Linked DNA regions of Lytechinus pictus. The protein of the gene in region 1 interacts with the protein of each later gene in a pairwise test. Links are inferred from orthologs where the notes say so. Each region holds a gene or a part of one and is shown in the gene's direction. Other genes may lie near its edges. The genes, in order: DNA primase large subunit-like and rho GTPase-activating protein 8-like.

Region 1 (3,600 bases):
TCAAATTCGCGCATGCGCCCTACACCCTCTCGAACGGCCATTTTGCTATGAATTTTGAAAGAAGGAGAGCCACCGCGACAGAACTGATCGTTTTTTGAGGTTCCAGTCTGTGCCTCGATGTCAGGAAACTGCCACTCGTTAGACTATCATCCATACAATCGTGGTAAGTGCTTAATTTCTGTTTAAATTATGTATTATGTAAATGATATTGACCAAACTTCACGGTACTCTCACCTGAATGCCCGTTTGTACACTGCGCGTCTGGGCTCCAGCCCGCTACGCGGGCTGGAGCTCTCTGGGTTAGCCCAAGGTATGCAATTACTTAAGTTATTTATATTTCCCTGATAATGGAAACCATGAAACTTTCAATTTTGCTTAAAAAACAGTTTTAAATCGCGATCTATAAAACGCTAGTTCACTATACGTTGGCTGTAGGTACGGGGCCCCATCCCCTTCAGTCTATGTATGGTGAGTGGAGCCAACGTAAACTAGTTCAGCGGAACAACCAAAATACAGAGACTGAAGCTTTTGGTCTAATCGTTCAGTAAGTTTCTTCTCGTATGACTTTATTTTATAAATCGACGGTCTCCTCTACTCTGTCGAGCTCTTGTGAAATTCGCGGGAGTTTGTTGCAATTTTGCATGCGCTGTGCCTTCAATTTACCTGTACACGACGGCAGTAATATACACCCATGGGTGCGTTTAAACATAACTTAAGTACGACAATACACCAGGCGGTGGACTGTACTGTTTCAGAAGAAGAAGAAGGCTTCAGAATACGGGCCTATATTTCCCACGTAGACACTCTAACTTAGATTACAATGTGTGGGACTGGGCTTAACGCTAGGGGACAAAATATCAGGTGAACTCACTTTAACACTTTTACTGGATCTCCGTATTTATCGTAAACCAATGATTTACAGGACGGAATCGATGAGAAGTATCTAAATTCTAAAAATGGTGCACGCAATGCTTGAAATCTTGAAATGTTCCCTGATTTTAAAATCCATCTCGCACATATCTTGAGGCTCATGGGCGCTGCCATCTTGGATTTGTGTTTGCGGAAGTGGAGAACACCCTCTCGCGGTTGATTTTGGCAAACGCGGGAAATTTAGTACGGGAAACTTTCGGCACAACATTACAATCTTTTTCGATTGATTCGAATTCACTGCGTGTGGCGCGGACCACTTTTAATATTTCTTCTGAAGACAGAGAGGTATTTCATCCAGATTTATCATTAACATGGAATTCTCAGAGAACACCACGAAGAAGAGGATCAAGAAGGAGTCGTTCATTGACAAAACCAAAGAACCCCATTTGCTGTTTTATCGGATTCCACCAATTGAGAACATTTCCCTCAGTGAATTTGAGGATCTTGCTAAACGAAGATTGGCAGGTAAGTCGGCGATTTCTTGCTTGCAGTTTTCAAGCGCAATGTACGCGCAATTCCCATGATTGTTTGATAAAATAGAGACACCAATAAATGCAATAACTTAAAAAACATAGGGGCCTACTTTTTATATTATTTTTGCTGACGATAATTAATACTTTTTGGAAAATATTGAAAGCGATGACAAATTAAACAAAAAAAAGAGAAAATTCTACGGACCTTGAAATTTGAATGAAGCCCGCAAGAGCTACCCTTCGTTTGTCAATAAATCATAATGTTTCACCAAAGTCTTTACAGTAAAAAGACTGGACACTTTGCCGACTTCGCGTAACGCTTTGCATCGATTTACGTGTAAAATAGTTTTTGTGCCTAGTCTTTCCCTCTACTTGTACAAGTTGTACTATTTGTACTTGTAGTGTCTTTGATATGAAGATAAATCGCACGCCCTCTTTAGCTAATTAGACAAAAAATTTGGGAAATAGAAGCAAACTCCGTATTTTGTCAACGAGAAGAAAAATCAACGCTTAAATGATTGAGGGATAGGCTATATCATATTAGGGGGAATTGACTTCACATCGTTCGGTAAGTTTCGTAGGACTTGATTTTATAAATCCTCTTCTGAAATTCGCGGGAGTTTGTTGAAATTTTGCATGCCTTCAATTTTCCTGTACACAGCAGCAGTAATGCACCCATGGGTGTCTCAATGGCTGCCTGAATTGATGATGCTCTGGAGCAGAAATTTAGGCTGAAAAAAAGGGTCGAGCGTGGCACATACATGTACATACAAACAATGGCATGCTGAGTAACCCCCCCCCCCCCCCCCCCCGGGACGAAGAGTGCAAGAACATGATATGAAGGAAGTTAAAATCGAATGTGTTAGGGTCCAGACTCCAGGTCAATTTTTTTTTTTTTGGGGGGGGGGTGAATGTACTATTCTCACAACTGCCTAACGTTAACTGTTTAGCCCAAATGTTAAAGGTCTAGTCCACACAAGAAAAATATTGATTTAAATCTAGAGGAAACTCCAACAAGCATTTAAAAAAATGCTGAAAATTTCATCAAAATCAGATGAAAAATAATAAGAAAGGTATTTTAAAGTTCAACTTATTTTTCACAAAATAGTTATATTAACAAGTCAGGTCTAGATCTCACTATAACATAAGAAAAGTAAAAAAAAATAATTATTATTGTTGAGTGATTTCCCTTTAATTTTGTTTTTTTAGTTCTGAAGCATGTTGAGTCTGTTGGTATCCGGCATGTCAAAGGAAGTGAGGAGTATAACGAAAGAATGGACAAAGAACTAAAAAAATTGATGCCCATTGCCCACAAGAAGGTATTGTAAATATTCACAACTGTTTAATAGTTCCAGAGAGAGAGAGAGGCCTGATTTTCATGAATCTAGTAATATTTCAATGATGATGATGGTGCTGATGGTGATGATGATGATGATGATGACGGAGATGATGGGGAGGGTTTGGATAGCATTCACAGAGAGAGAAGGGGGGATCCTGTAATGCATGAACTGAGTCATAATGATATTTTAACTATGATTATGATAGGGATGATGATGATGATGATGATGAATTGATGAGTATGGAGATGAAGAGGATGAGGGGGTGGAGAGGGGGGATACTGTGATGCATAAACTGAGTCATAATGATATTTTTACTATGATTATGATAGGGATGATGATGGTGATGATGATTTATAATGATAATAATGAGGATTCTGACAGTGATGATGGAGATGATAAAGATGATGATGATGACTGATGATGATAAGGATGAAAATGATAATGACGATAGTGGTGATAATGATGATGGTGACGATGATGATGATGATGATGGTGACAGTGATGATGATGATGATGGTGATGATGATGATGATGATGATGATGATGATGATGATGATAGCAATAAGGGATTATGAAGATGGGGAAGGCGATGATAGCAGTCAAGGGTTTACGATGGTAGGGTGGGTGTGATGATGATGCAGGAAAGAGACTATAGGCCTATGGTGACCGCAATCATGATGCTAACATGTTGCTGCTGACTGTTGATGATGCAACAACTTTCTCACAGTTATGCTCTGGAACCCAAGCCACAAACAACCAAACAAATATTGCATCAATGTTTAATAAATAAATATTTTCCATTGTAACTTCTTTTTTTATATTCTACCATGACAGATGAGTGGGGAAGACTTGGCAGC
Region 2 (3,600 bases), on another chromosome or scaffold:
TAAGCCCATGCTTGTACAGTGTGTATTGATAAATGAAAAACAAACTTTATCATAGACACACAGGCATCACTTCTTCAATGATGGTGAACTTTAAAATACACAAAAGAAGACAAATAAGAGGTAGATTAAAATAAAAGTTAATCTTGGCATGCTTCAGTCACCATGGATATTTTCCACAACAGAGCTTGCTATGTCCAAGTCAATTATTTACTGTCCTCTTATTGAAAGTTCTCTAATTATTTTCTTGAATAATTCAAGTAGGTTCATATTGCACTTTTACAATTGTGCAGCTGTGTGTTCGAGTCCATCATGGAACATAATTAAAGCAAGAAAAGAACATTAATCACACATAATTTTTTATTGATAATAATAGTAATCAAAGCTCAAACAAAAAATGGAAAAGAGAAACACCAGGTAAGGGAAGTACGTACATGTATGGTTGAGTAATCAGAAGAGAGGAGTGTTGCAGACAGAAGAGAAATTAAGGTTGAAAAGGGGATTTTATGAAGAGAATGAGTAAGTTTATAGAGATTACTAAGAAAGAGGGGCGTGGTATATAAAAAAGCGATTTAAGAGGGAAAGATTGGATGTTACAAAAAAGATGCAAGGGAGAATGTTGAGACAGATTTAAAGAAGAGAAATTGATAAAAAGCGATACCGGAGAAATGGTAAACATCACAGATGTCTTTTTGGGTGGTTGGGGAGAGATGAAATCCCGTATGAAATCGAATGATAAGTCCAAAGGCATTGAAATATGAGGAAGTAAGAGAATATTCGAGAGACAAAACATTGTTTTCTGGGATTTCCCATTGCGGCTCTGTCAAGATATATCGATTTGTGTCTGTCCATAATTGGTCTGGATTTAAACTTAATGAATATTTATATTTTTATTCCATGAAAAAATGAGAAAATATCCCAGGGGAAAATGTTAATTATTAATATTAAATTAAGGAAAAAGGGTGCGTAACGTGAGCTGAGAAATTGCGAGCGGAAATTTTGCGTGCGTCCAACAATCAACATGGCGGACATTGTGACGGCGAAATCAGCAGTAGATGAGGAAAATGGAAGTGGGGATAAATCCAACGTCAGAGACATAAACAAAGAAGATGACAATGCTGGAAAATCATTCGAGGATGGTGATGGTGCAGACATGGAGGCCACATTAGATACAGAAGAGGAATTTGGAGGCGATCCTTTGAGCGATGCCCAAGTGTTGAGTGAGTTGAGTTCACTTCAATCAATTATGAATGACAGTGACCAATCATGTCGGGTTCCTCCGCCGGTTCCTCAGCCTGAGGCTGCGGGAGCGGGATCCCCTTCTATTCCGTCGCAGCCAGCAGCAGCTGGCACCCTGCCCTGTCACGGCCACGGGTGCTGTACTGCACCGTGTGTGTTTTTGTTTTTTGCTGTTGAATTGTATCAAAATATAGGACACCGTTAGGACAGATCTTGTTGGAAAATAGGATTCCTTTATTTTTAGCAAGGCTCGACATTAGCGGTGGCCCGGGGCCACCAGAAATTCACCTCGGGCAACCATTAATGAAAAAATATTATTAAGTTTTGGTGGCCCGAATCGGGCAACCAATAATTTTCAGAATAGCGCAATTTTTCTCCCCATTTTGCACGCATTTATCAACTTTCTACAATTCAAATTGCAAGCCAGTTCGTCATGTGCCCTTTTTGTTGATCTACACACAAAGTTGGCCTACCGCTATAGCATTAAGTAGCTTTTATCCAGCCGGCTGTGCCGGCCGGCTGGCGTGAGCTTTGCATGCTTGAAGCAGCTGTGCGTTAGCAGCCTATTCAGACTCAGGGAGCTGCAATACGAAATGTTGCTGCTAAGAAATCTTCCACAAAACTGTGAAAATCCAAGTCAAAGTCACATTTTACACCAATGAAATGCCCTTCTACAGACCTTTTTGCTAAAATCTGGTGTATCCTGATTATTTGCAAGCATTAAAAAGAGGAATCATGACCTCTCTTTTGACTCAAAAAGACCGATTTCCAAATGAAAATAATACACATAAAAACACATAGGCGAGTACATCACAGTCCCACATGTGCATTTGTATGTATGTTGTTAGTGTTACTTGGTTTCTTTCGAAGCTGTGTCTTTTCCGGTCTTTTCTTGCCAAAAATAAACAGACAGTTACTTTCTTTCTTGTTTATAAATGATTTCTTAAACAACTCTTGAGAAAGTCAATACTTTGGGAAGGCATTTCATAATATGAAATGTGAATTTTTCCAACATTTTGGCAAATTTAGGGAAGGAATTTTCTCACACTTTTTTTTGCCGTTTTATTATTTTCTTTCATTTTTTTTTACAGTGGTTTAACCATTTATACCCATTTATTCATTTTTTGTTTTTCTTTATATTTTTCGGGCCACCAAACTTTAATATCGGGCCACCAAAAAAAATTATTTGGAGATTTTGGTGGCCCGAACGGGCCACCACCAAAAAAAGTTAATGTGGAGCCTTGCCTTTAGGAATTATCAAATATCATGATATGACTCTGAGAGACACCAGTGAGTGCGTTAATGCAGTTTCGCACTGGCAAGTTGGTTGGTTTTTTATATAAAATAATGCAGTTGTTGTGTGTCCGGACGATCAATTTTAGAAAGTCATTTGGAAAAAATTACAAGCGAAGTTTCATCAATTTTTAGTACAAAATGTTAGAAAATATTATAGAGAACAAAATAGAAGATGATTACAACTATTGAATTCATATTTTTAGTGTAATCTTAAGACAAAAAAGAAGGCTTCAAAAATATAAAGTGTCCGGACACCCGACCCCCCATCCTACTCTTGAAAACCAAATGTCCCAAAATTGTATTGTGAACAATTTCGGCGTGGAGAAATTTGCTTGAAGTCGGCTGGTACAAACTGCATGCTGCATTAGCGCCAGTGGCACTTTGATTTGTGCTGGTGACAGTCAGTAAAAAAGACAGTATCTTTACACATCACATGAGTCATGACATGTTCCACTCATTTTTTTTTCCGCTAAAGTAAAAAAAAGAAGTGAACACTGAAAGTGGAAATGCGATGAGCAGAGTTCCTCATGAAAAATTACCCCTTTTCATCTACTTTAAAAATTTACTGTCTACTTTTGTTTTCTTAAGCCAAGGATTTTTGTTGTCATCCATTACACAAAACAAATGGGCTCCTGACCTCAGACTCAGTGAGACAAAAAAATATCTTCTTGGTTGTTGGTATTGTTTCTTTTATACTCTTGCAAAGCAAGTCTCCAAATATGGGAGATTGTGTCCTATGTCATGTATGTTGAACAACCAAAAAATTACACGGGGGCGGCGGGCGAATTCGCCCCGGAAAGTCCAAAAAGAGCCTCGGAAAAGGGCTAAAAACATTCACACGAGGGCGACTGCAAAACTCATAATCGCCCCCGTCAACACTGTGTATTTCACAGTGGCAAATTGTCCATAGACTGTGTACAAGGAATAGACCGTCTCGGCTCAGCGAATCGGAGACCGCTGATTGGCCAATCGCGCAGATCACGTCATGACTACATCTACGTGGTCGCCAAAATAATTCCTTCGGACTGCGTGCGAAAGTATCGATAGCGATATCCGGTCACATTGTCT

Evidence for each region.
Region 2: the proteins of DNA primase large subunit-like (region 1) and rho GTPase-activating protein 8-like interact in a two-hybrid assay, tested with the Drosophila melanogaster proteins (2 studies listed by BioGRID). The link is inferred for Lytechinus pictus from reciprocal best matches to the Drosophila melanogaster genes Prim2 and RhoGAP68F.

The regions. Positions count from the first base shown.
Region 1 is NC_087261.1:23,515,891-23,519,490, forward strand, and holds the start of DNA primase large subunit-like, read left to right. Parts: upstream 1-1,094; 5' UTR 1,095-1,241; coding exon 1,242-1,395; intron 1,396-2,612; coding exon 2,613-2,722; intron 2,723-3,577; coding exon 3,578-3,600. UniProt on the Drosophila melanogaster protein: Regulatory subunit of the DNA primase complex and component of the DNA polymerase alpha complex (also known as the alpha DNA polymerase-primase complex) which play an essential role in the initiation of DNA synthesis.
Region 2 is NC_087263.1:10,185,645-10,189,244, reverse strand, and holds the start of rho GTPase-activating protein 8-like, read left to right. Parts: upstream 1-993; 5' UTR 994-1,018; coding exon 1,019-1,217; intron 1,218-3,600. UniProt on the Drosophila melanogaster protein: Functions as a GTPase-activating protein (GAP) for RhoA/Rho1 during gastrulation by converting it to an inactive GDP-bound state.